4 linked regions of the Drosophila melanogaster genome follow. The protein of the gene in region 4 interacts with the protein of the main gene of each other region in a pairwise test. Each region holds a gene or a part of one and is shown on either strand. Other genes may lie near its edges. The genes, in order: CG12730, Pmi, CG6770 and spidey.

The links.
Region 1: the proteins of spidey (region 4) and CG12730 interact in a two-hybrid assay, tested with the Drosophila melanogaster proteins (one large-scale study listed by BioGRID).
Region 2: the proteins of spidey (region 4) and Pmi interact in a two-hybrid assay, tested with the Drosophila melanogaster proteins (one large-scale study listed by BioGRID).
Region 3: the proteins of spidey (region 4) and CG6770 interact in a two-hybrid assay, tested with the Drosophila melanogaster proteins (one large-scale study listed by BioGRID).

Annotation. Positions count from the first base shown.
Region 1 is NC_004354.4:5,513,583-5,521,055, forward strand, and holds CG12730 (uncharacterized protein), read left to right. Parts: upstream 1-3,025; 5' UTR 3,026-3,838; coding exon 3,839-3,916; exon of another isoform or gene 3,917-3,918; intron 3,919-3,989; coding exon 3,990-4,262; intron 4,263-4,461; coding exon 4,462-4,557; 3' UTR 4,558-5,189; downstream 5,190-7,473.
Region 2 is NT_037436.4:5,777,406-5,787,306, forward strand, and holds Pmi (Pmi), read left to right. Parts: upstream 1-2,645; 5' UTR 2,646-2,705; coding exon 2,706-2,728; exon of another isoform or gene 2,729-2,978; coding exon 2,979-3,127; intron 3,128-3,182; exon of another isoform or gene 3,183-3,184; coding exon 3,185-3,369; exon of another isoform or gene 3,370-3,431; coding exon 3,432-3,592; coding exon of another isoform or gene 3,593-3,596; exon of another isoform or gene 3,597-4,145; coding exon 4,146-4,176; 3' UTR 4,177-4,286; coding exon of another isoform or gene 4,287-4,317; exon of another isoform or gene 4,318-4,425; coding exon of another isoform or gene 4,426-4,903; intron 4,904-5,219; exon of another isoform or gene 5,220-5,265; coding exon of another isoform or gene 5,266-5,444; intron 5,445-5,511; coding exon of another isoform or gene 5,512-5,838; 3' UTR 5,839-6,075; coding exon of another isoform or gene 6,076-7,050; 3' UTR 7,051-7,280; downstream 7,281-9,901. Other genes in the region: Myt1, read right to left, coding at 359-494, 553-917, 974-1,119, 1,182-2,136; PGRP-LD (peptidoglycan recognition protein LD), read left to right, coding at 4,426-4,903, 5,266-5,444, 5,512-5,838; Cralbp (cellular retinaldehyde binding protein), read right to left, coding at 6,076-7,050. UniProt on the Drosophila melanogaster protein: Plays a role in mitochondrial morphogenesis.
Region 3 is NT_033779.5:12,042,736-12,048,713, forward strand, and holds CG6770 (uncharacterized protein), read right to left. Parts: upstream 3,384-5,978; 5' UTR 3,241-3,383; coding exon 3,031-3,240; 3' UTR 2,608-3,030; downstream 1-2,607. Other genes in the region: CG6785 (uncharacterized protein), read right to left, coding at 1-256; Plzf (promyelocytic leukemia zinc finger), read right to left, coding at 4,661-5,557, 5,614-5,978.
Region 4 is NC_004354.4:7,906,069-7,914,237, forward strand, and holds spidey (spidey), read left to right. Parts: upstream 1-2,862; 5' UTR 2,863-3,303; coding exon 3,304-3,469; intron 3,470-3,809; coding exon 3,810-3,856; intron 3,857-4,640; coding exon 4,641-4,716; intron 4,717-4,784; coding exon 4,785-5,125; intron 5,126-5,183; coding exon 5,184-5,519; 3' UTR 5,520-5,817; downstream 5,818-8,169. Other genes in the region: dpr14 (defective proboscis extension response 14), read right to left, coding at 1-113, 181-358, 432-878, 1,189-1,270; snz (snazarus), read left to right, coding at 6,796-6,911, 6,983-7,122, 7,260-7,356, 7,421-7,732.

The sequences.
Region 1 (7,473 bases), 2.4 Mb from region 4:
AGCTGAACTGAAGATGGCCTCGCCTTTTGTTAACCGAATGCACACACTCGGTTGCCATATCGAGTGCATATATATTATTTACCAAACATGTACTTGAGTTATCACCGATACCGTATGCAAACGTAAATTTCCTTTGGCTTTTTGACTACGTGGTCATTGGTCTACGTGCCAATCCAATTTCCTCGGCACATTGACTGTGGCTTTTCCTTGGCACGCTTTCAATTCGAATTTGCCGACATCGAAATGCAAAAAAACAAAAAAAAAATCAGAAAAAAATATAGAGGAAAACAATTGGGGTGCCAGCGACTCGGGACCCCTGCACCTGTAACTGGCTTTTCCGTAATGGCAGACAACTTTTCAGAGCAGCGCCAGCAGAGCGAAGCGTTTACATAAGTGGCAAGTACGGAGTCGTAAATCGTGGCAAATCGAGTTCGGTGTTCCTCTGTTTCCCTGGACCACCTGGCCAAGTGAATTGATCAAAAATCACGCGAAGGAAATTGCTTTAAAATGTGCAGCGGCAGCTGAATTCAGCGAAGAGCAGATACTGAAAATGAAGTGGAAAAATCGCAGGGAGCTTGTGAAAAGTGTGTACAATTCGGGGGAAACGGGCCAATGAAATGCCAATTAAATTGATTTGAGACTCAACCAATTTTTTTTTTCTTTTCCATATACTCGTAGGAGGTCATTAATGAGGTCTATAGGAAAATGTATTTTCGTTGATTGATTGACGGATTGATTGGCAATTCATTAGCATAAATTACCCGCAGAAACCGAACTTAAAGTGAAAGTACCACCAGCGAAAGCTTAATGCCCTTCGAATCTAGTTATGCTTCGGGCTTTAAATAATATTTTCATTTCAAGTAAATTCGTTTACAACATCATTGAAAGCTGTCGAAGAACAGCAGCTCCATGCACCACAACTGAGATGACAGTAAGCTCGCGAATATGAGATGAGCCTCCAGACAAAGAGATACAGATAGCAAATAAAGGATATTTAAAGAATGGCGGCAAGGACATCCTGTTGCACTTGGCCCATTTGATTGATGACGTTGGCACTTGAGTGCACACGATAATCATTTATAAGGCGCATAAATGTTCTGTTCCCCGGGGGGGAAAAAGCTGGAAAATCCGAGGGGGGAAATGGGGGTGGTTGTCAGCTGGCGGATAAAAAGCGCCCAAAGTCGAAGGGAATATCAGATTCAAATTCACTTGGCAGATATGCTGAGGTCGTTGCTATTTTTGGGGTATTTCGGGATTCGAAATTAGGGGGGGTGGTCTTGGTCTTGTCACGTCAGCTGCAGAGTCTGACAGCCACTGCACGAAATTTGCATTCAAATCGAGCCGTGTATCTGGGCAACTTAGTATCTGTATCTGACAGATACCCAGCTGGCACACTTCTTTGTCGAGGTTGAGAAATGGCTACGGCCCAACTTGCCGCTTTCTTTCGAACTTCCTTCAAAGTGCCTGAAACTAATTATCTGCCTGCTCGCAAACGTTTACTCCAACTTTCGTTTAATTGGTCATAGTTATCGCCAAGTTTGTCATTATTAAAGATGCTTCTGATGCATCTGAAACTGGATTTTTTCAGCCAGAACACTGCTTAATAGCTCACATGTCGCTTTGCCTTTGGTCCTGCTCCACGTTATCCCGTCGCCAAAGCAAACAAAATCTTGCTGATGCAGCAGCTGGCAATTACAGCGAATGCTTTTCTAATTAGATGCACCCACATTTTCCAATTCCCCCCGGCCCCGCCCCCCTCTCTCTCCGCTGCTCTACAACATGGGTGGAAAAGCGATGGAAATTGCCTGAGTGCGTAAGCGAAAAACCAGCCATGTGCATGAATCGTAGGCGAGATATATCACTAAACAATGCACTCTCAGCAACGTGCCACTGAGTATAAGTTGGATATTTAGTTAAAAACTATTTAGATGCTTTTGCTGTTATTCAGTGGTTTAAAGCGCACATTTATAAAGTCCTCTGTGCACTTATCGAATTCAAAGTCCTAAAGAAATCAAAGAAATGTCCATAGGTAATCATAGCTTTTTGCCATTGAGACTCGCACGCCCTCAAGTGTAAATCCGCTCTCCAGTCAATTTTCTTCGCTTTTCCGCCGCACATTTTCCCCGCTTGTCCAGACGATTCGATGCTTATCGATGAGCGCAAATCTCGTGCCTCCCATATTTATGTATATATATATGTTTATACATATATATGCATGAGCTTTTAGAAATCATGTAGACATTAGTTGCCCTGCAGTCGTCTGACTGTTTGTTACCCTCGAAATGGAAACTGCACTTTATCGCTTAAATTGCTCAAGTGCAGTTCATTTATGATTTTCGTGCTCATTTCCGCTTGTTGTGGCCGATTTCCGTCGCATAGATATCTCACTCAGCATTTTCCGCTCTGCATTAGAATATGTGAATCTGTGAAACTGTGAATGTCTCTGAATCTCAGTCAGTCGAGGCGATTGTGCAAGTGACCTTGGCCAGGAGGCGGGGGCCACCCATGCGGCCATTTCGTAAACGAGCCACCTCTCATGAATATGAGTCAATTAATATAACTCAATTTGATGTCGGGCCAGAGTGTTTCGACTGCTACCCTATACAAGTATCTATGCATTTTCAAGAACTTTAACAATTGAATGTGGAAAATAGTACATGAGTAGCGAGAAATCAAAATTAAATGAATGAAAAAATTGTATCTGTAATATCTTTGTAGCTTTGTATCATAAAATTTTTTTCTTTTGTATGGAGTAGTGTGTTCAAAGTTCGTCAAACTTATCTGGCCACCAAATGGTTTGTGTATATTCACGTATTCCGTATGATATGTGCTGGGCAGCTTGTGTTTTGCAATGTGAATCACGACGAAATTGCATTTGATTTTGGGAGGCTCGCATTTGCATTCGCATTCGGATTTGTGCAGCGATTTATCCGTTAAGTAACTAAATCAATTAGCCTGCTGTGCCGATTAAAATAACGAGAAGCGTTTCGGTCATAGCCGATAACAAATACGATTCGAATGGCACAATCTAATGATGCTGGGCATTAAGATACAGATGGAAATTCGAATGCACAGTGGTCCAAAAAGGGCCCAACCTCAAACTGCATGTCACAAGCAATGCCAGTCATAAAAGCTCGGCACTTCACACGACTAAAAAAGCTTTGCTCACCCAGTAACCGGTCACCTTGCCTTATGAATATACATATATTTAATATATCCCTGGAGGTCAGTGAGTCACACCGTGTTAGATTCACCCCTTGACATCCCCCGAACGAAAATTAGTATAATGTAACGAAGAAGCATTCACAATGAACAGACCCCCAAAACTACAGTTAGTAAGACAAGTTAATATGGTTTATTCATTTATTGGAAATTACAGCTTTCTTAAACTAATAATCCTATTTTTTATAAATACCCAGCTAAAGCTAATCTCCTTAATATTTATAGTTTCATTAGATACCATTTGAGTAGATAACACAATTTGTACACAATATGTACTACATTTCCTGATCGTTTCGTCCCACTGTGCCATGTGTTGCTCGCTCTCTGTCTCTCTCTCTCTCTCTCTCTCTCTCTCTCTCTTTCGCCCGCTGCTTCTCTCGCTCTCGCAATTGTAGTTTTATTCGCCGAGTGTAACGATGGGAGAATTCTGAGTATTTGTGTTGTTTGTATTACTTCAGTGGCATTCTGTGCGTGCTGGCGAGCGCAATATGAATTAGTCAGCGGCGCTTCGCTACATTTGCTACATTGGCTTTAATCGCTCGTTTCTGAGGCATCTATTCGGCTGGACAATCTGGATTAACTGCATCCAAAACGTATATATCTTGTATTGGCCGCGATGTCGTTGACGGGAACCCAGGACTACGATCGCAAATACCTGCTCAGCATGCCGGGCCTGTGCAAGCTGGCCTGTTTGGTAATTAGCCTTACACATATGTGCCATTGTGTATCGCCCTTAATGTGTGCGCTTGTATGTGTGCGTCTTTCAGCTGTGCAGCTTTGTTGGAATATTGTGCATCATCTGCGGACCGGTGCGCGTGAGCAATTTCCGCGGCAGTTTCTACCTGGCCGTAGTCACCATCGGATTCGTGGCCACCGGCTGCCTGCTCCTGGCCAGGTATCTCCGGTTGTGGCAGCGCCAGTTCTGCCGATGCGATCCCACGCTCTGGTCCCTGGCGGTGCACTCCTCATTGGCCCTGGCCTACTTCACGGCCTCCGGACTCGTACTCTCCCTGGATATTGGAGCCTATACGGCGGCGGCGGTAAGTGGCGTTCTCGCAGTTAGGATAAGTTCGGAAACCAAAAGTATTACGGCTCATTGTTTCGGCTAATGATTAAGCTAGGAAAGATACTGGTAAACGAAACACTGAGCCTCCAGTTGGAGCCGATTCATTCCCTCGCTGTGATGAACTCTCTGTAGATCCGTCTAATACACCCTATTCTTCACCTTTTTTTTTACAGTTCTTTGGCCTGACAGCATTTTGCATCAACGGACTGGAGGCCTATGGAAACTATCGGCGCAGTCGCCAGCGGGAGGTGGCCACCCAAACGATATAGACTTGGTTTCAGGTGCACGAACCCAGCTTTTGGTGGCTCTTACTACGTTAGGCTTACTCTGTGTGTGTATCTGTGTGAGAGCGAGTATCTGTGTGCGAACGAGTATCTGTGTGAGTGCCAGTGCGTGCGCGTGTGTGTGAGTTTGTTTTGAGAGAGCGAGTATCGCTTGCGTTTGCTTGAAGCATTTAAGTCTGAAGTTTGAAATTGTGGCAAGCTTTTGTCGCGGGAACAGTTACCGTATGTGTTATCTAATAGTCGCTAGATATAGGTCAAGAAGTGAAGAAGATAAAGCCAGTCGATCGCAGCAATAACGTAGATATAATAGCGAACAGAAAGCGAGAGAAAACCACTAACAAGAGAGCAAATTCCAAAGAGATAAGTTGTATTGTGCCTTCTGGCTCTGCTTCTTCCCTTCTTCTGATAACTGGTTAACAATGCGTGAATATATATGTACATATATATACCCGATTTTTTTTTTACTTTTATTAAGTACATAGTATTTGTGTGTCTCAAGTGAATATACATTGAAGTAGTTAGTTTTTAGCACAATGCTTTTCATGACCACTGAATTGTTGTATTTATAAACAAATAAATCGTTTGCAATGGAAGAATAAAACAAAAATACATAAATGTAATTTGTAAATGAAGGGTGTTTTTTAATGATGAGAGTTCATATGCGTAAATTGGGCTTGAATGTCAATTGTTGATCGTGCATATTGTTATTGATTCATTTACGCAAAAGGCCACTTTCCCGAGGCTATTGTTTATTTATTTTACTACACGAACTACTTTTGCGACCATGTTTGCTTGCACAACAAGCTATTTTCACCTAACATTGCCGGATAGAATTTTTGCAACCGGCGCTCCATGAAAAAGATATCGCCAACCTTTGTTTACCTTATCCGCATTGAAACTGAAAATAAACAGGTACACTATGGTGCCCCCCTGTCTGATTTTGCTTCTTGTTTCGTTTTCGTTTTGGTTTCGGTGCTCTGTAAGCTGTTGCCATTGTTGGCTTTTCAAATCTTTTGAACCACCCACAAACGCAACAACCATCATCACCCAACAAGCAGCACCCAACGCCCACAAAAAAGCACTTGGCTCGTCTATTGTTTGTGTTGTTTTTGGGGGCTCCCGCCTCATTATTATTACTTTTGTTGCCAGTTTGATGAAGTTTTCGCCTCGATTCTTGTCTATTTCTGGCACGATTTATTCATAGTTAGTTGTTCGCCAAGCATAAGCAAATTTTCAGCCAAGTACGCTTAACAACGTAATGAAGAGCGCAATATATTCATGTGTTTTATGCCGAAAAGCGCTGGCGTAAAAAAAAAAAAGAAAAACAAAATAAATGTATAGAAATGTAGCCGCATTGCAGACATAATATGGGTTTCGCATTGCTTTACACGTGCAGTAGGCAACCCTGTAAAGTGCTGCAAGTTGCCATGACCACTCATGACCTTGTGCACTTATCGCCTATGTGTACAGAGAAAAACCATGTCCTTTAAAGGGTAATTTCCATTTCCATACAAGCTTCATTTAATTGATATATTTATGTGGTCTTGACTCTGCTCGTAAGTAGATAATTTTTTGCGGTGCTTCCTAGCCCTCTTAGCCAAATGATCATTTAATTATTTCTTCGTCGGCAGCTCTTAGCACTTCCCATACCCTAATGTGCCATAATTTCTGCTCCACCATCGACGCTCTCGGCCATGCAAGTCACGTAAAGTGAAATTAATTAGTCTTGTTTGCCAGTTAGTCGGCCTCCTTTCGGGTTGGCAAGACGAGAAAGTGGAAATGCGGAAAAGCCAGGCAAGGGGTCAATCCTTGAGTGATTGAAATGCAATCGTGTGGACCGAGTTCATATTGAGTTTGTGGAAATGTCATGGGTCCGCACTTCCTGCCAGCAAATGATTTATGCGGCCTGCAATTTGAAAGTTGGCTGGCTTAAAATATTTTCTTTTTTCGCTCATAGAATCGTGGTTAGCAGTTCAATTGGAAAATGTGACATGCCAACGCTAACGGTAAGCTGTTTCATAATTCGCTTCTGGCCTAATTAGCTGCTAATATTATCTGAGATAAAACATCAATGGATGGAAAGTGAATGGAGTCCGGCATAAAGGGCGTAATAACCACAGGGTCTGGCTCAGATGATAACTGTTGCCCAAATTACAAATTGTAATTGAGTGGAATGGGTTGCGTTGTTGTGAGGGAGCACCGTTCTTAATTAATGAAATCATTCCCGAATCAAACGCGCATTTAATCAAAGTCAAGTCGCCGTTCCTTGTGCAATTTATCTGGCTTGGTCCTGCACTTGGCAAAATTTACGTGGCCAAAAGAGCCTAATTCGCGGCAAAAGTAAGCCTAGTTCCCTAATAATACGATGTATTTCACAGTTCTTGGGTTACATTTCACACTTCAGCACTCAAATGTCTGGTCACAATCCCTGAACTATAATCAATGTTAAGCGATTTAAATACTAGTGTATACTACGGTTGGAACAAATAGGCATTTTTTTTTTTTAAGAGGATACTTTTTAATTTGTTACGCTTCTCTTTGAACCGTTTTGTGGCATTGCCGTCCCAGCCAATCCATTCCATTCAGGCCAAACACTGCGGCTGTGGCCAAATGACGCGCTGAAATGCGGGCCTAGCATCCGCCCTCACCCCCTTGACCCGCTTTTGGCCCACTTTCGAACCTCCTTTTGGCCGCCCGCCTTTACCACAGCTATGCAAACGCTTTGGGATGCTAATGCGGCCAAAATAAATGATGGCATGAAGGCATCTTTGGTCGTTTTCTTGCCGCCTTCATCTTTCATCGGCTGTTGCTTTATTCTGTTTTTGTATTCTGCTCTTCGCTTTTGGCATTACTTTTAATTTTCAGCGTCCGCATTTCATTTCTGGAAGCCGGTAATTGTCG
Region 2 (9,901 bases), on a different chromosome or scaffold from region 4:
TATACGTTTCTTGGTTTTTACCTTTAATTTGTTGTTATCATATGTCATAGATGGCATTCAGTGCAGGTTTCAATTTCAATAAGTTTTTTATTTTTAAACTTTTCAAATCGCTTTTCGTATATATATCACATGATTATATGTTCAAGTTCAACAAGTTCTTCTAAAGAAGCATTAACATTACACAATCGTAAGACTATATCTAGGGAACTTCGTACAACACTACGGTCTAGAACTAATCAAAATACAATTAACGATATATTCTGTTGCCATATGTATCTGGTATTCGTTTCGTAACTGATATATATTGGGTTTATCATAAATTCATTCGGTTTACGTTGCTCGCTGGCACCGTACTCACTCACTCGTCGTCATATTCCAGGACGAAGAGCTTTTTGCGTCGGAACGATGAGGTGTCCAGGACCTTGGCGGAAGATAGGGCGGAACACGGACTCTCGAAATCGTGTACATGAACGTACCTGCCCATTGAATCAACACTGAAAGCGGATGGGTTATGTGCGCTAGTCCATGAGCTAATCGATTAAGGGTACTTACTTATTCTTTAGCAAATCCAGACGGGATTTGCCTTGGTTTGTGTTCAATGGCGTGGAATTTATTACGTTGGGGCTACCCTGATTGGAGAGGTCCAGCGGGTCCTCGCCGGAAAGGAAGTCGGAGGCATAGCAGTCACGATTGGCAATGGGTGTGGATCCTACCAGCTGGAACTCCACCTGAGGCACCAGAGGCACTCCCTTTGACGAAGGCGAGGAGGGCACTATGTTAATATTGGGCTGTGAGGCCGTTATGGGCTTGCATAGATGCAGGACCTCCAGGAAGTATAGAAGGTAACGAAAGGCGGCTGTTTTCCAATTGCACATTCTTCCCCAAACGGCGCGGCGAGATCGCCTAAAACTACGCGACTGCAAGTTGTCAAGGGTTAAGATTGATTCTCAAAGATGTGCTTGGGAATGCTTACCAGCATGCTGAAGTTCATCAGCGACTTGCGCTTCTTTTGCAGGTACTGCAGCTTGGGATGTGAGAGTAGCTGCTCGGCCGTCGGCCTCTGCGCAGGATCGGGCTTCATCATGGACTTAATTACCGACTGCAGCTCCAGTGATATTTCTGTGCGAAGAGAAAGGCTTTAGCAACCTGCCATTTAAGTAGGCAGCTAGTTCGCAACTCACTGTTTATGAACTCCTCGGGCAGAATGCCGTGCCTCAGTTCGTGCCACAGTGGGCCGTTGGAAGGAAGATCCATGTAGCATGCCAGCTCTAGCATGGCAATGCCCAGACTGAAGATGTCCGCAGCCTTGGAGAAGTGACCCTGCAGGATCTCTGGAGCCATATACCTCGAATCTCCCTCCGTGGCGTGATGGCTGTTGGCCCTGTCCACATCGATGACCAGTCCAAAGTCTGCCAGCTTGCACGTCTCGTCGTCCTCGCCGATCAGAACGTTGTCCAGTTTAATGTCCAGATGGATGAGATTCCGGTCGTGCAGCGACTTGAGACCCCGCAGCAGATCCAGCAGGATGTGCCAGATGCGCTCCTCCGGTATCCTTTGGCAGCGCAGCAAGTACTGCTCCAGACTTTCGCGGCACAGCTCCATTTGCATGTACAGTCGGTCGTACTGCTCCCAGGCGCGGATGAACCGGATGCAGTTCTCATGGCCGGAGAACTCCTCGTAGCGCCGCACCTCTTCCAGCCGCTCTGCGCGGTACTGTTCGCCGCGGAACAGTTGCTTGGAGATCTTGACGGCATATAACTGGCCGTCGGAGCGATCGCGCACCTGGAATACCTCGCCGAAGGATCCTTCGCCCAGTTTGGCCAGCCTTTCGAAGCACTGCTCGAAGTGTGACAGGGAGAGGGTGCTCAGCTCGGCCTGGACTGGTGACGAGGGCAGCGTACTGGAATCCGAACATCCGGCGTCCCGGAAGGAGATCGCGTGCGCGATCTGGGAACTGTTGGTGCTACAGGAGCCCAGCGATTGGCTTCGGTTCAGATTGTTGTTGTCCACGGCGACGTAGCCACGCGTCTTGTACTTGGGCGGCCGGAAGCGATTGCTGTTCTCCCCATTGCACTGTTTGTGTCTGTGTTTGTCGTCGTGCAATTCCGGGAGGGGCAGGCGATGATGCTTTTCCATTTTCAATTTTGGGTGTCTTTTCTTATGAGTGGGCGAGTGTGACCATATCGGACAGCCGGCGAAATCCTGGCTTCTTCGCTTGGGACAATAAGAGCCGGCTAATTCATTTAACACATGTATCTTATATTTTTGATCTTTATTGGGAGTATAATTATTGATTTCAATTAAGTTAAGCTCCTATAATCGTATACAGATTTTACATGATTTGCCTCTTAAATGCCTCAATTATCGTAAATAGAGATGGGAGAGTTGAGTAGTTGGAAGAACAATAGAAATACTGAAATATTTTTAAAAACTTTAATCTAATCTAATTGTCTTTATGAATATAGGTAAATAAGCAAATAAATTGCTAAATAGTGGAATTAAGCCTTTATATATAGGCCGCTCTTTAAAGGAGAATGGTATTTGCGAATACGATATAATTCAAAAGTGCCGCCCAACTGCGGTATTTTTTTGGAAGATTGCTATTTGCAGTATTATGCCCTTAGGTACCTGGTATATTTTAACGGTCCAGCTGCGGCCGCACTGAGTTTATGAACAACATAGAAAACAACAAATTTATTAGCAAAATGGTTAGCAGAAATATAGAAAGGTAAATACGGCGCCTAGTTACGTGAATGCAGTGGGATTACGCAACACATTCCACCTGGGTGCAGCCAAATCCCAGTTCCCAAGTGCACCTGCCCTGGTTATGCAATTTACTAGGCGGCTTCTTCATTTATCTCGTCTGCACAATGGCTTCTCTGCTTCGGTTGTTCTGAGCGCTTGATCTTGACCTTAACCTTGAGTTCCACATCAAGATAACCATGATTGATTCGTGTATTGTTGTTCTAATTGTGCAGCACGAGTAAGGTGCCCACTTTCCATGTCATCCGCGAGGTCTACGACAGCTCCAATGCCCATGAAAGATTCGAGGCTGAGCTGGACAAGGCGCTGGAAGCCAAGTTGGACTTCATCGTTATAGAGCCGCCTCGGCTGGGCGACGAAACTGGTAAGCACTTGGAAGTGCTTCCTTTTAAAGCACAGTATTAATTTCATATCTCCACAGGTCGTTGGATTTGGGTGGGCAATTGCCTGCACAAGACGGCGGTGGCCACTGGAGTGGTTTCCCTGGTGGCCAGCTTGCTGTGGCGGGATCGCCCCATCATTGCAGCTCCCGCTTGTGCACTCTCGATTTTTTGCACAGGACTGTACACGGTTTCCTGGAACTACGATCCATGTTGTCAATATCAGGTATGAAAGGAAAAGTTCTAGATATCCAAGATTGAGAAGCTCACTTTGGTTGTGTTTTTCAGGTGGAAAATAATGACACCGTGTTGGAGAAACTGCCACTGACAGATGTCTCCTCGCCTGTGATTTTGGGCTACTCGCCCAACTCAAAAACCAAATACTTGCACCGTAGCGTATCCTTGCTCTCGGCTGCCCTGTGCGCCTGGCAGATTTGGAGGTCCTACAAGTAAGGGATTTGCAGGAGCTCTGAAATGTCCAGGTGCTGGATTAGGCCTGTCCCCTGTCTCGCGGACGCGTAATACCTAATAAGTTAAGTTTAGGCACATAGGCGAATGCATTTCTTTTAGATTTTCGAACGATTTTAACACAATGTATTGTCTTTCGTGAAACTTTTAAATGTTCCCATAAACCAGTGTCCATGTCCAGTGTTCCCGTGGCTGCCACTTGCACTGGCTAGCATGCTCATAACTTATTACGGTCCCCAAGCCCAAGTTAGTCTTAAGGGAGGAGCAGCCTCTGCACTGTAAATTAAGCAAAGCCAACCTCTGTGTATAAAGCGAAACCCATTTATGATTGTTATTAGAGTCTAGTTGAAGATATCAGCAAACGAAAGTCAAGTAAACGCGATGCGAATGTTACTCCCGGCTTTAAAGTTACTCCATAGCTAAGAGAGTCTAAGAGTGAGTGCGATAAGAGACCCCTTCGAAATTCGTAGCTGATGATTTAATGGAAATGTTGTGCTTCATGCGGGCTGGTTCTCTCCCTTGTTCTCGTCTCAGTCGTTTTGTGCATTCTGCTGGCAGTGGTTGACAGCGGCGACTCCGATCGATCGAGTGGTGTGTTCCAGTGCGATCCGGTAAGGAGCTGACCCACTCACAGCACCACCTTGATGCCGAGGCTGCAGCCAGAGCGGTCTAGCCATGGACTCCAGCCACATAGCCGTGCGAGTGGGTAAGTCCGACGATAGATAAGCCCTTGTCTTGATAAGATATAGTTAAATGGGTGAGATATACGAATGCGTGCATCTCGGCTGGATATCCCAGCTCAGTTAGTGGCAAGATGCCGATCTTTGTGAGCGCCTACAGTCTGCGTGCCATCAGCAAATACTATGCCCACCAAGATCAGAGTGGCCTGGACAAACTGTGCCACTTGACTAATCATCTGGTCGCCTTTATCTTGGCTAAACTCCATAATTTGTTGTTTGCTCTATATTTCGCTACGATAGCACGTCGTAGTCCCTCGCCGGCCGCCGTCTCTCAGTCGTCGTACGGCAGCCTGGGTTCCAGCCAAGATATACACATTCGAGTGGACAAGGAAGGCGTTGCAAGCGAATCCACTCCCTTGCTGGCAGCTGCTCAGCGGTCCATCAAGACGTCCTCATCCCTCACAGCCTCAGTCTCAGCCTCCTCCACGACGCCTTCGAATTGCCGAAGGAACCCGACGCTCCACGAAGACTGCTTCAATTGGCGCTCGGTGGGACTGCTGGTCATGTGTGCATCCGCCTTGGCACTGGCCGCCTATTTGCTCTGGAGACAAAGTGAGTTTGCCCGCTGATGGTGGACGTGCACGAGTACGTGCTCAAATCGTTATTGTTACATATATGCATAATAAATAAATCTCAATTAGCTGTGAGTTATGATAAGCTGCTCATGTGCGTTTTGATGGGCAGGCGAAAGTATTCAAAGAAAAATCGATCTATACTCATAATATAATGTATCTGGCATTAAATTTGTATAGTAAAACATTTTAAAGCCATCCCTCATTTTTTTTTTTTGTTTAACTTAAGATTCGTTTTATTTTTCGTATGCATGCATATGACTCATTGTTAAATTTTTCTAAATTCGCCTTTATAGGTGGACAAAGCCACTTAATGACTGAATCACTTTGCACTGCTTGCAGCCCAAACGCCGGACTTTGGCTATCGACTCAGTATCGTGGGTCATGGCATATGGTCGGATATGGAACTTCAGGGTCGGGGAACTCTTTTCGATCCGATCGGTGTCGGCACAGTGATTTTTACCCACACTGGAAGCAATGAATGCCACGATGATTGCCCGGATGTATTGCATAAGCTGGAAGTGAGTTAATCGGACATAAGTATGTGTAGTACATTGTAATCAAAGCTAAATTCATTCATCTCCTTAGAGGTCGCATGTGGGGGAGCTGCCCTACAACTTTCTGGTCGCCGGTGATTGTCAGGTTTTCGAGGCACAAGGATGGCACTATCGGAGCCAGTATCCAAGGGATCTAAATGGAATAGACTCGTTGGTGATGGCCTTTGTGGGTAACTTCAGCGGCAGACCACCCATCGATTGCCAGTTGATGGCCGCCCAGGCTCTGATCCTTGAGTCTTTAAAGCGTCGGATTCTGCAGCCAATTTACCAACTCTTCGTGTTGGGCAGCTATACGGACGCACTGCAGCGGGAACTGAGGCACTGGCCGCACTACGCGAGCCACCAAACGTCCAAGTGAAGCAACAAAGAGATGATTCCAAATTATTCCTCTCGTTTATTGTACGCCAAACACAAACACAGTATACAAAGAAGCGCAGGATGAGTAAAGCGGTTGCCACCGATAAGCGAATCAGGGATCCCCAGGATCGGGCGCTGGCCAGGATCGGGGGACCGGCGAAGCGTTGCGCATTGGGTTAATTGATTGGATGTTGCCTAAGACTAAGGACTATAAACTTAAACTACAACTGGCGATCGGTTAGTCGAACTCCAGTTTCCGAAAGCTACCCTCGATGGACTCGATTTGTGAAACGAAGTTGGGTCCGCCGGTGGAGGCCTTTCCGGCATTGAAGCTGCTGCGCCGCTGGATGCCGCGATCGGAGCGCAGTATGCTCTTGTCCAGACCGAGAATCAGGTCGCGCTTGGTCGCCAGCTCCTGCTTCCACAGCTCGATCATCTCGCGCATGGGCACCTTGCCACCCATTTCCAGCGGCAGACAGCCCTGGTCCACGCTCTTCATCAGCTCCTTCTCGCTGCCGTAGATGATCAGGCGGTTCTTCATCTTGGAACTGACGCGGTTCTTCACGAAATCAATAAGCCACTTGAGTGTGGATGGTACATTGATCAGGTGGATCTCCTTGTGACGCATGGGCAGCGATTGCTCACCCCACTTGAAGATGCGGGCAAACTCCGTGGGATTCCAGTTGGTCACATGCGCCGTGGTCACGCCGGCGAAGTCGCCCACATGCGTTAGCCCAGTGATCTGTGTTTCCTGATCCTCCATCAAGCACTCGTAGGTGAGGAAGTGCGCCTTGGCCTGGTCGCAGCTTGTGTGGATCTTCGGATTTAGCCCCTTGGCATTGATGACCACCACGCGGCGACCGTGCTTGTCACGCTGTGGCACCGCAAATATGTATCCCTGATCGATGAGGTCGCCGAGACGCGGCTCCAGATAGTCCAGCTGGGTGCTCATGTGCGGGAACGTCCTCCTGATGTTCAGGTACTTGAGCAGCGTCTGCTCGGCCATCGGCACACTGAACTTCTTGGCGCGCAGGAAGCGCAGCAGGAAGGTATCGTCGCATCGCACATTCTGCAGATCCTCGTTCTTGGCCACCCAGTTGCGCAGCTGCTCCAGCGACTGCTCCCGCGTGCATCGATCCTCGCGCAGCTCCCGCTTGGCGATCTTCAGCAGCGCCTCTGGCAGGCCTGTCGTCTCCCCCTGATCCTGCACCATATTCTGCTTTCCTTCTTCGCTGGAAGATCTGCGATTCGTTGGTTCTGCTCTGTGGTCACGCGATTGGCATGGACTGCGGTCACTACAAAGAATGATAAGAAGTCCACGGATTAGTCGGGTTTTTTCTCAAATCCACATTGTATGATTAATATTTATACTATATATATGTATATGTTCTTAAAGAGATTGAATTTACTTACTTACATACTTGTAAAATATATAATTAAATTAAATAAGAACAACTTTTCATCTTGACTTACATAGAAAGCTTCAATATACTGAATCTACAACCAAGTTAGGCTCCAACTTCTTTATAAAAAGTGACGAATATCAAGTTTGAAGCCTTTGCTTTAATCAAAACAAAAAAACTCACTAGGCAAACGACGAAACTTATTGTTTAATAATTCTGCATATATGTATTTATCAATGAGATTTATTAGTGGTCTTCCCATTGAAATTGGTTCAAGGTCCCAGTGATCTCAAGGCGAACGCCACCGGATCACGGATCGTTGTAATTTGCAAATATTTGCTAATTAAAACTCGCGTATGAGACGCGTTTTTGTTAAAACAGAGCTGCGAAAGCGACGAAATAAAAAAAAAAACTTATAATTTATTCACTTCTTTGTTGTTAGGGGAACCATAAAGCGACCACCAAATGCCATTATGGTCGCATATAAAACATGTATGGATGGCAAAAAGACTGAAAAAGAAACCAGGCGAATTGGTTCAAGTTCAAAACTGTTTACTGAAAGCGGGTCAAAAAGAAATATATGTATGTATGTATGTCTGTATGTTCGTAATTAGCCAGTACCAGAAAGAGTTTCACTGTTTGAGCATCCGAGCATCATTCATTGCATAACAATAAAGAGCGTGGAAAGCAAAGAAAAGTATGTGGAAAGCGACCGAAACAATGCCACTGTTTGACTTTTGCAGATAAACAAAGTGCAAACATGGATTTATATCAATATTTGCACACAATTTGTGATCCGAGCTGCGGATGGATTTGATTGTTTTATGGCCCTTTGTCTGCGCACTTTGAATCCCCCAGCCAGATAATCGAGATCGAAATCCGTTTTCCCATGACTTCGACCCATTTGCATATGTACATACATATGTACATATATACATACATATCTCTTGGGTTCGAATGTTGCGAACTCTGTGCCATTTAATTGATTCGATTTTGGTCCAAAATTTGCATTCGATTTTGCTTATTTTTTGTTTAGCTTTTTTTTTCCTTTTGTCGGCTTTTCAATTTTCGTTTTGTCGGTTTTCCCCCCGCTCCCCCCGGAAATGCGATTTCAAAATGTCATTGGGCAATGCGCCCGTTGGATCCCGCTTGCCATCTCTTTCGTCCGCCAGCTACCCCTGTCTCTCTCTCTCTCACTCTCCCGCTCTTCCACAAGTTTCAACATGTTTATTAGGAGCTCGTTGTGGCTTGCGTGGCTTTTGTGTGGCCAACTGAACAGGCCAATAATGCAACAGGCGGTGCAATCGTGGCTTATTTGGTAATTGTTATTCCACAGGCTCCTTTATTCTCCGCGTTGATTGATTTTCGAAAAGGTTTCAGGCTAATCATGTTTGGTTTTTCAAAGCCAGCACACAATTGCAAATCCATTTTTGATCAAAAGGGTTAATTGGATTTTGATACATTTTGATACATTTTGATTGCTTTTTGATTGAATTGCGCATGAAAAGCTTAAAATTAAAAAAAAAAAACAAACTTTGCGAATGGAGGAGGGCGGTTCGTTTGGTTATTAGTCCAGATTATTATCCTATAACATGTGGTTATAATCTTTTCTTTTTTTTCCATATTGTTTTGCTATGAAAATGATTGAAAATGTTGAATGAAATGCTGTAAGTAATTTGATTAATCCTTGTATGCTATCCTGTTCATATATCCTTTTCGTTTCAGTTTTGGCTACATCCTTTCAGTTGCTCTCGAAATTATCACAAACACACACACACACATTGGCACTTACACTCCTTTTTTTTCGATTCCTTTGATCGTTGTTTTCAAGCACGTCACACGCTGCGTATGAGCAATGCCAAACGCCCGTTTCGCAATCCTTGATACGGGTTCTCTGGCCTCTACTTGTATATGAGCACCTCGTTGGGATTTAGCTAGGCCAAACGATCTTCGTGAGACGACGCGCCGATCGAAATGTATGTACGTCCGAACAACGCGAGGTCCAAACAACGAATGACGCTGGCTGGAGAGGCCTCGTCTAGAAAAACAACGAAAAAGCCCGAGGAGAAACAAAAATTGTTAAAGAAATTAACTGGATTATATAATGGCCATGCCACCACTACAGCCGAACATTATGTATAGCCCACTGAGCCGAGTGTCGAATGCAATCTGATCGGTTTGTTCGCTGGGTAAATGCTGCTGCTGCGGCTGCATGGAGATTGAGTTGAAGCTGGAGATGGAGATGGAGATGGAGGGAACAAGTTTTTGGCCAGCCGAAACTGAAAGTACGAAGTACACGAACCTTTTGGCCACATGTTTTTTTTTTTTGTGGGATAGAGCCTGATCCCAGCCATCAAAGGCAGCCATAAAGTATTAAAGAGCTGCTTGTTGTTAGGCAATGTCAGTTGGGCAGTTAGTCACTTGCTCACTTGGACGCTTGGCCACCACCAGTGGCTGTGGATCAGGTTCGCTAGCTGTTCATTTTTAACTTTACTTCACAGTTAAACCTTTGTGAATCCATAGCTGTACTCCCTGCCCATTTGCACGCCCATCATTTCATTCATTAGGTTTGTTCAGAAACGTTTGCATTTTCAAAATTTGCATTTTCATGGCTCGACTTGAGGTGGCAGTGAAGCGAGAATGGTGGCCAACCTTGAAATG
Region 3 (5,978 bases), on a different chromosome or scaffold from region 4:
CATTTCCGGCATCCCTAGCAATTCGCTCCACCGTGGCAATTTCTGTATCATTATCGGCACCGGACTTGAAATGATTCCACATGCGCGTAAGGATTAGGAGATCGCTTTCTCCGCCCGCGTTGCTCTGTGCCCGTCCAGCTTCGATCACGGCCAGCGCCGTTAAGGTGGTGGCAAAGAGAAGAAACGTGACCACCAGAAACCATATGGGTGAGAGGCGTCGTGGCGCCTTCGCCGGCATTTTCTCGTAGGCAGACATTATCCGTTTGTCACTATTGATTCTATTGTTTCGAATCCTGGTTCAGCACACACCGCACGGCCAGTTGGCTCGGAGTTAAGTCGACAACTAACCGAAGATGTCCCAATGCTGAGCCAGAAAAACTCCGCCCGGCAATGGTGCTAATGGCGGGTTTTTGGGTATCTAGAACATCCATCCGTAGTGGCTCGTTGAAAGGTGCTAATCCGCGGGCCGCGTGCATCATCGTTATTGGGCCAGTGCTCCAGTTTCGATTTAACGGTTCATCCAAGCCACCAAGTGCCGCGGCAATTAGCACCATCCATATCACCAATGTAGCCAGTACTACGATCCCATCCCATCCGATGCTAACTTCCATTCTCCATTCAGTTATGCATAATTCCCGATTTTGTTGTTCGCCACAAATTCGTTTTTTTTTTTCGCGGTGAAAGTGTGCAATATGATTCTCTTTCCAGAAGATGGACTATGGAATTTAGGAAATCGTAATTGGAATGGCTTTGTGCCGTTGGAGCACAAAGATCCACGCCTGTGGAGTGGCCGCCATCGAGGTCCGTCGTCGGTCGTGTGCCAGGCGAAGATCACGATCTAGGAAGCTGCATACATGCCCATATTTAGACACAAATCGTGGCAAGCGTGCGACTTTCATTAATGGGGTTGAAAAGAAATCTATTTCTACAATTAAGATACGTTAAGTCAACATCAATGGGGTGTTTGTACATTGGTGAGATCGCCTTAACGATTCGAAATTTGAAGACAACACCATTTTAAAAATGCTAATACACAGTTTTTTTTGGGAAATTGGTATACTACACAAAGTAACCAAAAAGAAAGGATATCGTATTAGAATATTGTATACACATATGAGCTTATCATAGTTTATTATATAGATACATATAGGTAGCCACCTATTAAAACTCATATCTTAGAAAAGAAAGCGATGTTAACAATTTTATTCTTTAATGCGAATTGAAATGAAATGAAAATTGCTCATGTTATGAAGTTAGTATTTAATCTTAAGAGCGCAACTAGAAAAGTGCAATCACGAAGTACATATGTACATATGTACATATGTATACATATGTATGTATGTATATTCGATGTACTATCTTACCTTCAAATCTTACATACACATAAATATGAATGTATGTATGTATGTAAATATGTATAGACCTCAACTTCTATCGATTTCTAGACTTTACTGAACTATTAATGCGTCATATGTTTACCGGCGAAACGCAGCGTGGCAAACTAGTTTCGTTACCCCCAAAATTGTTTACTCGTTTTTTAGACCTCTTGCTTGTTTTCCTCTAAAAAGCTCGATTGTAAATTTTATTTGTTGATATTGCTTTGTTTGAAACCGCGGCGATAATGTTTATCTATCGATTTTGTTTTACTTTTGTAATGCGAGTTTAACGAATCTTTAATTTAGAAATACATTTAATAAAAATAAAAAACCGATTCTAAGGCACTTTTAACACGCAATATATTGCAATGTTTAATTTTATAAAAAAACAGGTTTTTCATCACCTTCTATTTGTTTGAAGTTTGGAACACCACATTTTTAGATAGATCAATGATTCAGACGAAATGCTATTTAATGAAGATAAGGAATATTTATGACTAACCAAAATGCGAATTTAAACATACATAAGAGTCTTGGAATTTTAATTGTCAATATGTTCGAACAATTTCATTAATATGCATTATAGCAAAACCACCTGATCGAGAGTCTGTTTTATTGTTTACCAAATATCAACAACGCAATTCAAAAAGCCGGCAAATGGCGTTTATAGAGAGAGAGAGAGCGAGAGAGAGGAGAGAATTCCATTAGAGTGGACCTTTCTGGAAAAGTTTGTTCGGTTTATTTTTGTACGTGTGCTTGTTTGTTTGTGAGTGGAAAATAACATAGCTTTTGTAATTTTGGACACCTAATGTAAAAATATCGTTTAGTATTGAAAGTCAATAAAAGCGGCGCAATATTCATAAATGCAACCTTACACGCAAATTTAAACCGGAAGAAATGATGCAGGAATATGTGTGTGCAAGTTTAATTACCTGTGTAACTGGTGAACTTTCAATGGAAGGTCTCGGGAATATTTCCGTTTGCAAACTAACATACATACATTACATACACAAATAAATATGTTCATACATGTTCTCTTTTTGGTCGATCGCTGTAAACAAAGAAAAAAGTCGACTGCAACTGCTTTTGCGATAATCGAGGAGCTGAGTGCAAATGAGTTCAACTAAAAGGCTATAAATATGCACAACAGCACACCAACGGCATTCAAAAAGCTCTCTCGCTTGGAAAGGTGCGCTGCAAATGCAAATGAAAATAAGACGACCAGGCTATTCAGTTTTGGTTTTCTCTTTATTTTATATGTATTACCTAAGTCAAACTTCATTATTTGAAACGCTCTAAGGCTTAGCAACTAAAACTTGCAAGTCTGAATTAGTTTAGGAATATATTAGAAGCTAAGAGTAGTATGTGCCTTTCTTTTTTTGTGTTTGTGAAATTATAAGCGAAATAAAATTATTATAATGTTCACAAAGTTTAGCGCCGCATGAAAAGCCAATGCACAATACAAATGCAATGTGTATTTCCAGCTGGCTTTTGTTTTTCTTTCTTTCCTTCCAGCAAAACTGCTGCTTGTTCTTCTTTTTCTTCTCTCCTTTGCTTTTGCTTTCCTTTTAAATTCGAAGATTTCTTTTCTCCTTTCAGCGCGGCCCCGTTACTTCTTTCTCTCCTGTTCCACCGCCTCCGTCGATGCCCTGCATCAGTTCTTGCAGGCGGCGGCTTTCTTGTTGTTGTTGTTGGTGTTCATCAGCTTGGTCAGAATCTTGCGGGAATGACCGGAGGGATCGAAGTGGTTGGTGTGCTCATTGGCCTCCCTCTTGTTGCGCTGCTTGCCGCTGTGTCCAGAGAAGATGTGCTTGTCATGGTCGAAGTTGTAGTGCTCGTACTCATCGAAGTGGGCCTCGGACATAATGGCGATTTAAGGTTGCAAAACTAACTGCGTTCTTGGTTGGTGTCTGCTTTTTGTTTCTCTGCAAACTTGCAGGCTGCTTTCCAAATTTCTCTTCTGCTTTTTTTTGTTCACTTTTCGCTGAGCTGCGAACGGAATTGAATTTTTTCGGTCGAGCAGCGGCTTTTATAGGCGCGCAAGCTTTCTGTTCCGTAACCAAAGCTCTCTCTCCGTCAGAGTTGCCGGATTTAGCTAAAGAAACTACTAGAAGGGCATTTAATTGTTGCTTACGTGTAGTTACTAAAAATATTTAATTTTTCTATAACTTTCTACTGAACTTTTACAAAATATATTTGCTCTTTTTTATGTAAAAGAATTTTTAGTTATTAAAATTCATAGTTATTGGGCCTGACAACCCTTTTGCGCTCAAGAGAGTGCCTCCTTGACAATTTTTGCTGCGCAATTTAATTTTTTGCTGTTTACAAAGTGCGCGGTAAACAAAAAAACTGAAATCGCCAAACATATTATTTCGCCTTGTTCATTTATTTTAATAATTTAAGAACTTTTAAGCATACACACGTTCCTGAGTGGTTACATAACACACACCCACCTTGGCCCTCCGCAAACGACCATCAAAGTGCATTTACCCTGCATTTGTTTCTCCACCCAATAAATATAGAATTAAATGCATCATATGTTCTGGATACACTGCTCAAAATTTGTTTATTTTTTTACACTCAACAATATTTGAATGTTAGGGCACAAGAAACAATTTAGCAATAATTATAATTCGAATAACATTTTTGATTTACAAAAGATATACTCATAATGGATATTTATTTTGGTGCATTAGAACCTGATCGGTTGACCCACTTCCCTCCCACCAGGCAACGCATTTGTTTATTTCTGAATAGCGAAAAGCTTTCAGTTTGTTTTGGTTTAATGGATTTTATATAAACAAATGTTACGTACATACATATATACATAGCCTTCTGGCGTTGATAAGGTGCTAACTATCGCTCTAGTTAGTCATTTGGCAGGTATTCGTTCTGAAAGTTCGTCTTCAAACGACGCAATAGATCGTAGTCACCATCTTAGATAAGATAGAACGGCCTCAACAATGTTGTTTCAAGAACCTGCCACAATATACCACTTTATTTACAATTCGTTGGTAGCAAATCAATCTTTAGATTTCTCGATGGTTCTTTTTTAATGGCTTTAAAAAGAAACTGGGTTTCCGTGAATATTCTAGATACAATTTTGTTGTACTAGAACTCAGAACGAGAGATCCCACGTCTCATTTTGTAAATATAGCAAATGTTCTAAACTTGCTGATACAGTCTCTTTTCAACATAGTTATTCTAAATATTTACTATTGACCTTTGCCTCACAAATCTCTTTCTCTGAGAAGTTATGAATGGGGTAACCTTCCGTTTTATTCCTATTCTACAGTCTCCTTGGGCAGTAGTGTTTTCAGTCGCTTGTCAGGATTAACATTCCTTATAGTCTTGCTCTTAACACTCTTTGGCTTCTTCTTGGGTGACGTTTCGATCACGGGAAGCTCAAAGTCATCGGGAAAGCTACTGTCCACCGTTTCCGAGAGCTCCAACTGCACCGGTTTCTCTGTGTGAACCCGCTGCACGTGCTCCTTCATTTTGTCGGAGCGATGACTGCTGAATCCACACAGCTGGCACTTGTAGCGGTTCGGACCATTCTCCGTGTGCTTGAGGGCGTGACGCTTGAGGTTTTTGCTCTGGCTGAACTTGCAGCCACAGACCTCGCAGATAAAATCGCGACCCTGTTTGTGAGTTTCAATGTGCAATTTGAGGTTCTCCTTGCGATTGGCTCGATGCTTGCAGCCTGAAACTGTGCACGCAAAGAATTCTCCGGTGTGAAGCAGTTTGTGCGACTTGAGGGCCTTCATGTGCGTGGTGCTATAGCCGCAGACGTCGCAGAGCATTTGCTTCTCGGGATTGTGGACCAGGATGTGATTGCTCAGGCCCTGCTTCCACTTGAAGCCCTTGCCGCAATGTGGACATATGTGCGGCGTTTCCGTGGAATGCTTAGGCTGATGGACGAGCAGGGCAGCTCGTGTGTTGAAGCGGATGCCGCACTGTAAGCAAAAGAAGGGCTTACGCAGATCACCAGAGTGCCGTCGTAGGTGAGTGTCGTATTCCCGCCAGTCCAGAAAGCCGACTTCGCACAGCGAGCAAATCAAATGGGAGGGCTCACAGCTGCCCATGTGCTCGATCATTTTCTGTACCTGATAGCACTTGAAGTCGCAGCCAATGCAGTAGTTCACTTTGCTGCTGGACTTTACAGCTCGCGGGTTCTTAAGCTTTAAGGAAAAGGCGAATATAAGTTACGGCAGTGGCTCAATGACATATTATCCACCTTGAAGTAACTTTGTCGATTCTCAAACACAGCCTCCGCTTTCTTTTCTGGATCTGGATTTGGTTGCGCCTCTCCAGGTGCTGGGATCTCCGTTGCTTCCTTCGCCTCGCCCAAGGGCTGCAACTGGTAGAGATTCAGTAGTTCTGTCACAGCCAAAATTTGCGCTAGCTCCCTAAAATGCAGTTCGTGCTCCTTGGACACGGACACCAAATCCTCGTAGAAGAAGTCCACAATTGTGTGCAGGCATTGGGTGCAGCTGAAATTACGGATGGTGATCTTCAGCGGATTGTGAATGGAGAACTGCTGTTGCTTCTGGTTAGAGTTTATAAACTGGCTCTGAGCAGCCAGTACGCAGAAATGGACGC
Region 4 (8,169 bases):
TCTCCGTAATCTCATTGCCCAGCATGCAGGTGTAGTTGCCCGTGTCCTGGCGATTGGCATTGGCGATATACAGGCGACTCAGAGCTCGTCCTGGCAGCATGTCCGTCTTGACACTGCAAATGATATCAAATGCATGGTAATTAACTTACGATTATTAAGACCATATACGACAAATCCTACCTGATTCCTCCGCGACTAGTATCGTAGTTGAGCAGGCGCGGTCCGTGCCGCCAGGTGATATAGGAGGAGGGATGCGGAATCTTCGAAATGACGCACTGCAGCTCGATGGTGCTGCCAGCCTTGTAGTACTTCTCCGGCGTGGCCGAGCCCCGCTCGTCGAGTATCTCCACGTGAGGAACTGCGGATGGACAACGAATGAGATCAGCATGGATCAGCAGGTTTTGCTTGGCAAGCCGACAGCAGTTGCTCACCAATTATAGTAAGGTAAACGAGCAGGACGAGCGGCGGATGCGAGGACACCTGGCACTCGTAGGGACCCTCGTCCCGCTCGTTGGCGAACTGGATGAGCAGCTTCCAATCGTTGGGCTCCTCGAACTCCAGCGAATACCGCGAGTCGCCGCTATATGTGTGCTGGCCAAAGGTTATCAGGGTGAGATCATCGCCACGGCGACGCATCCAGGACACCGTCTTGCCCTGCAGATCGTTCACCCGGCAGTGCAGATAAACGCTGGACGAGAGCTGGGTGCTGATGTTCAGCGTGGTGTACGGATCGGCGAAGAACGGGAACGGCTCGTGGGTGGTCGTCTCGGTGACCTCCAGCTCCTCATCCTCGGGCGTGTCGGTGAACGGCGATGAGAACTCCTGCCAGAAGTTCTTCGGAAACGTGTCGAATGGATCGCCAGCTCGCGGTCGTTTCACTAGTTCGAAAAAAAACAATTTCAATAGATATAGTTAAAATATATATGAAAATCATATAATATATAAAAATAAAATGCACTCAGCTAAAATCACGTATAAAAGAAAAACTCAAATAAAACAATAATTTCGTTTCGAATAATGCTTGCACACTAAGTAGTAAAATAATTGTTTTACATAAAAAAAAATAATCATTTTTCACTTGGGTAATCCGCAAAGTAAACAAAAGAACTTAATCTTCAGCTTAAAAGTGCCAAAGTTTGAGTTGGGTAAAAGTTTGCAATGTGATTAAGGCATGAGGTGGAGACTCACATGTGGTCGACGTGGAACCCGAGCCGATGTGATGGAGTGAGGAGTATATAATCGCCAGTATCCAAAACAGCCTCGATCTCATCACTGCAGCGGAGTGTCTTCATATGCCGACTTACGGGATACGGTAACAGGATGCGGGATGATGCATCGACTGGCGCCACTCGCCGCAGGATATGCACATATGAACGAACGCCCCTCTAAACTGTTCTATATCGATCCAAGTCCAACTGCATCAGCGTCCCACTGCATCGCCAGCGATGATTCCACGGACTTCACTTCGCTTCGCTTATCGATTGCCCTGCGGCAAAATATTGCTGGACATATTGCACTCAAGTATCTTCTTTTTCAGAGTGTCCTTTTCGATTATATATGTATATTTACTTTTTCTTTTTCTCTTTTTTGTTGATTTCTTTGCACACTTTTCAGCGCGCGGATGGAGGCTGGAGGGATAGGAATGTCGGACAATTGGAAAATCGGAAAAGCGCTTATTAACCAGCTCGTGTTGCGTGTGTATTTATCCTTTTGCAACTGCTGCTCGGATGGCCAATAAACGGGAATGTAGGTCAGGGCATGCTCTGCGCATGGCCAGCATCCGCATCCCTATTATTTCATCCGAAGGAATCCCTCTACCCGAGCAACAACAACAAATAGCAGACGCCACTCACCTCTCAAGCTCAAAATAATGCAATCTTCAAGATTGTTTTAAAAAGAAAAAGACTTTTCTTTTCTTCTTTTGTTTGCATTTGTCCAGGAAAAAAGCTCTTTTCGGCGGATGGTTCTGATAAATATTTAACAATATAAAAGTTGCTTTTGCCGGTCCTTCGGCGTTGTTGTTCCCTCACCCACACTTGCTTCGGCACTGAATCCGCTCCGAAAGGCCAGCATCTCTCTCGGCATTCTTGCAATCCAGGGATTTCTACCCACCAAACAAGGTCCTTTGAATCCGTATAGCTCGGCATGCAAATAAATCGGGCGATTGAGCTCAGAAATACCTGTATTTTACTAATTGTTAAGAGCCTAGAGTAAAAATACAGATAAACTACCATTCTTTTACTGTCAAATTAAGCTTCAAATTCGAAATTCGATAAGTAACCGATATTTATCGATAGGCAAAGGATTACCCTCGCACATACGCGATCCGCTATAGCCATCTCGCTCCATCAATAATTTACCGTTAATATAGCGGGCTTTACTCAGAAACATCAAAAATATTTAACGACTTTAATTGTAGCATTCGCTGCGTTAAATTGTTTATCGCACTTTCTGCTTCCTGCGCATGTGCAGGAAATTAGTCAGACTATTTCGGTGATTGCCCCATTCTGGCGTGTATTGGTGAGAGCATAGAACTTACACTGCCCTCCTATGATATACATATGCATGCTTTTTTCGCTTTTAAATAAACTAATTAATAGACTAGTAAAAGAAGGATATACGGTAATGAACCTGTGAACCCTTAGGCGGAAAACTATTGCTGAATTTACATTTCATCCCTCTTTTAAAATCAGCTAGTGCAACATAACGGTTCTTGGTGTGATAAATTTTTGCGCTCACTGTTTGCAGCCGCCCTTATCTTTCGCTTTTTGGTGGTGTGCGTGAGCGCTATGAAATGACATAAGTGGGCACACAACACAGACACACACCCCTCTGAGGGGGGCACATGGATACGAAAAAGAACCGTTCATTTGCTTTTGTGCCGTTGACAATTGACATTCAATCGCTTTTTCCATTTGTTTTTATTTTCCCCCTTCTACCCTAAGTTTCTCCTTTCAAAGAAAACGCATTTGGAATACAAATCAGGCAAAAAACACGCGTACATAAATCGAGTAATCGAAAATCAGTGGCGATTTCGAAGGGTGTGTGTGTGTGTAGAATTACTACAACACACCACAAATACAGTTCGAAAAGGCAGCGCAGTCGGCAGAGGCGAAAAAAAAGCAGCGGCGTCAGCATTTCCATTTCGGCATTGCAGCTCGAAAATCGTAGAATCAGAAACTAATCAGCCGGCAGAGGCTATAGCAGTCGACCGATCGCAATCGCACCATATAGTACATACAATAGGTACCATTGCCTAGGAGTACCAGGAACCAGGAACCACTAATCTCCATCATCAACATCATGGAGGAGAACAACTCGCAAGTGCTGAGCCTGCTGGGCGGTCTGGCCATCGGAATCGTGGGCTTCCAGGTCTTCCGGAAGGTCCTGCCCTGGATTTACGCCAATGTTGTTGGCCCCAAGGTCTTTGGCTCCTCGGTGGATCTCTCCAAAATGGGCGAGTGGGCAGGTGAGTCGGTTGCCATGGAAAAACATGCCGGAAAGGAGCGGAAACGGGGTCGATTCCGAGTGCACAGTGAAAAAATGAATAGCAAGTTTGCTAAAGAAGTGTAGTTAAAAAGATTAAAGACCCTTTTACAATTAAATTGTGAAGAAAGGGAATTTCCAAATTGCAAACACTCTACTTTCAAGTTTTCCAATTTTGCATTAACTGCCTAAAGGAATACACTATATATCTTTCCAAAATGGAGTTCAGTACTTTTTTCACTGTGACCGATAAGATCGTTCCCCACGCCCCATAAATCCACTGATAACCCACAGAACTATTGGCTAACTTTTTCGACTTTCAGTTGTCACCGGGTCGACCGATGGAATTGGCAAGGCCTACGCCAAGGAGGTATGTACACAAAGATGACATGGAAGGGCTGCCCCAATCTTGACCAGCGCAAGCAAAGTCCGTCCAAGCTCGACCGATGATTATAGTAAAATGGGAAACGGGTCAAGCAAACAAACAAACAAAAAACGATAGTAATAATGAGCAATTAGTAATTACTAATTACCGAATTGAGTGTCGCCCACGATGACTTGGACATTGGTTTAGCGGTCGCCAATGCATTAGCCAAGTGAATCTGCACTTTGAAATCGATCTTCAGTCAACAGTCCAGTCGCAAACAGTCCCTAATAGTGTTTGCTTGACTGCAAATCGCTACATTTGTACTTTTCGTTATTTATTTTTACAAAGTGCAATCGCAGTTGATTTTTCTACCTTTTGTGGTAATTTTTTTTTTTTTTTGCCAGTTTTATTTTGTAATACACAGACTTGGAGCAAACGAAGCTAGAAGCTATAGGGAACACGTGTCCCCTGAATGGCAATTACTTTATAGAGTGGAGCACAGGGCCCCGATCGAAGCTTGTGCCAAATTAGCATTCGGCGTGCGTCGAACGCACAGAAAATGGTTCAATGTTCACACCCAATTTCTATTCATATACACGCTTAGTACACTTAAATGACTTCCTGTTCTTAAAATCTACGGGTTACTCGTCTTTGAAACTCCTGCTTTAGGTAGAAACGTTCAGTGTTCCCATTCCAAAGCACCATTGCTTTTTATCTCTGACCTAAGAATTTACTATCCAAAAGTACGTAAATATGAGCAGGCTAATAAATATTTAATCACTTTCAGTTGGCTCGCAGGGGCTTGAAACTGGTGCTGATTAGTAGATCCCTGGAGAAACTGAATGTGGTGGCCAAGGAGATAGGTAAGTCTGCTCACTAAAATACAGTTAACAACTTCAACTAACAACTGCTCTTTGCGGTCTACTTTCAGGCGATAAATACGGTGTGGAGGTGCGTGTGATCGATGTGGACTTCACCGGCGGTGACGAGATCTACGATAAGATCCGCGAAAAGACCACTGGCCTCAATGTCGGAGTGCTGGTCAACAACGTGGGCATCAGCTACGGCCATCCCGAGTACTTTCTGGACTGCTACAAAGCCGATCCCCCATTCCTGCGCAACATTGTGGCTGCCAATATCCACTCGGTGACGCACATGACCGCACTTTTTCTACCCGGCATGATTAGCCAGCGACGTGGTGTGATCATAAATGTATCGTCCACCGCCGGAGTCATTCCTAATCCGCTGCTGAGCGTGTACAGTTCCACCAAGGTGAGTGGATATCATCAGAAGTGATAGAAGGCTAATTACTAATACCTATAATTTGCAGGCCTTTGTGAACAAATTCAGTGATGACCTGCAGACGGAGTACAAGGAGCACGGCATCCTCATCCAGAGCGTCCAGCCGGGCTTTGTGGCCACAAATATGTCTAAGATCCGAAAGGCTAGCGTGTTTGCTCCCTCGCCGGAAACGTATGTCCGCTCGGCGCTGTCCACCCTGGGCATTGCCACCCAGACGGCGGGCTATCTGCCGCATGCTCTACTCCAGCTGGTCATCCACTTCACGGAGGCGGTGTTCGGCGAACAGTTCGCACGCAACATCGTTATGAAGAACATCCTGGGCACCCGGAAACGTGCCCTGCGCCGCCTGGCCAAGGAACAGTAGATTATTGAGGATGAATACGGCGGAGGAGGCATTTAATGGGAATCGGTTGGGATGATGAGTGGGTCAGTTGGGTTGTGGGGAAAATCCGGCTAGTCAAATAGCTTACGTAATTACCGCGTGTCATACGAATCCACAAACAGATAGCTTGAAATACCAAAAAAAAAAACATTTTTCCGAAATAAACTAAGTTTAGTTAGTTTTTGTCATTAATTAGCATTGAAGATTCGCAAACAGCCATGTCATGTAAACAATAAAAAATGTGTTACTAGATATATGTATATATCTAGTTTCCAATGATAAATAACGCCTTTTATTTGCAGTCCTTTATTTTGTATTTAACTTCTTATTTGTTCTTGCTAGCGATTTTTCTTTTTCCCTATGATTTTTCATGTTTTTCGGATCCAATTTGAATTTGAATTGGATGTGTCGATAACGGCAATAGCTATCGATTGGTCATCGATAGGCGCGCCCTTCGGCTAATCGGCGAGATGGGAATGACAGAAAGAGATACAACACTTCGCGCAGGGCGAAGAAGCAAAGCAAAGGGCAAAATTCATAAACATAACAGTAAAGATAGTGTATAGCCGGGCGTGAAATGTAATGAATCGGATTCATGACGTGACGTGTTATCAGGGCCAGCCCAATCCCAACTGCGCAGCAGCAGCGACAGCAACAACAATAACAACAACACATCAAGCTGAATCGAAGGAGCGTGTAATCAGTAATCAGAGTCGCTTGTTTTGATTTCCTTTCCTCGGAAACGAATCAACACGAAACGAGACGAGACGATTCGAAACGAAATGAAATCAAAACTCCGCTCCGGATAAAGCTGGTCAAACCAATCAACTTGTTGCGGATCCGCAGCGTCGCCCAGTATTGATTTGGCGCATATTGCCGACAGTTGTGGTTCCGATTTCGATTCCCAGCCAGCTGTCTCTCTGCCCATATATTTCAATATACGACGGACGCTTCTCCAAAAGCCGATACAATACTGTGCGATACCATATTTGTATTCGTTTCTCATTCGTTGACGGGCGAGGCGGTGGAGGCGGCGGTGGAGGTTAAGAAGAAGAAGGAGAGGTCGTCGACAACGGAGCAGTAGAAGAAGGAGGAGGTGGTGGACACCAGACCAAAGCGGAATTGACGCAATTGTTGAGAACTATTTTTAATGGTCAGCGGGTCGAAAATGTACAAAACTCATCAAATATTCAGAAGAAGTAGGCAATAAGGTGAGGAGGCAGTGATTCGGAAGTCCCGAATCGAAGTCAATCGGCCGATGGAATCAGAGGAGCACGCTGTGGACGCCATGGAGAATCGCCGTTTGCCACTGTTTCCCATCGAACCGGAGCCATCCGTAACGGCAACGCAACGCCTAACGCTCCTTGCCACCCGGTAAGTCCATACAAATAATGTCCAATCAAATACATATATTGGATACAGACTAGCCCTGAAATCCCTTACAGACTACTACGTGCATTGCAATTAAATTGGAGGATTATTGTTTCGGGCATCACGCTTACATTGCTGGCCGTCATCTGGTATTATCCCACCTTCTTTCTGTTCTTCGCCTTTGTGGTCTATTCCCTGGTCTTGGTTTTTGCGGGTAAGTCTTCCGCTTTCGTTCCAGGGCGTTTTCTAATGGAATGATGGCAAATGAGTCACCATATCGGGCGCAATCAGTTCCGAACGAGCGCCTAATTAAAAATGCCAAATATCTAATTGCCCTTATCTCGCCGACAGCTGTGGCGGGAACCGTCTATATCCATTATATATTCACCACCAACGAGCCGACGCCACCAAGTCGCGTGCCCTCGCGATTGCTCTACAATGCCACCAAGTGAGTAGCGGACTTTGTTCTATATGATATATATGTATATATCTCTATCTCCATTGACCCGCAGAAGCAACATCTTCGATCTACCCAAGCCCATCAAGAATCCATCGAATTTGCCCCTGATTTTCGGCAAAACAGTGGACCTGCAGCTCCAGCAGATCATTGAATATGTGCTGCGCGATTTTATGCTGCCCTGGTTGGGCTACGTGGTCACCAAGCCCAAGCTGATCAACGATGTGGTGCGCGAAGATCTGTGGAACGCGATACAGAAGATCCATGAGCGCGCCCTCAGAATGGACGCCGCCAAGATCATAGCCGTGGACATGGTCAACCGGGTGACAGTGCATCTGGAGAAGATTCGCATCGCTGAGGCCAGAGCGTAAGTACTTCACTTTAACCTGGCTTAGTATCCACAAAATTAAACTTTTTAAATAAATAGATATATATTAGTAATGAACAGAGTAGGTCAAAAACCTTTCCAGATAAGTAATGTATAGCAAAGATATCGGATTAATCCAATACATTTTTTTGATTGCGCTCAAACAAAGAAATGCATAGAGGATGATTGTGATTGGATATAAAAGATACAATGTGCAATTCGACTCTTTGTTTAATACCTTTACTCTCTAATGCTTTGGGCCACAATAAGTTGTTGTTTATCTTTGCGTGAAAAAATGCAGTGAACAGAATTAAATGTAATTTATATGCCTCAGAGAATGGCCATCAATCCCAAATCATTAAATTGGTAATCAATAAGCAGAAAGGCAACAGCTGCGATTACTTTGCATTCCATTGTTCAACGATTCAGATCTATAA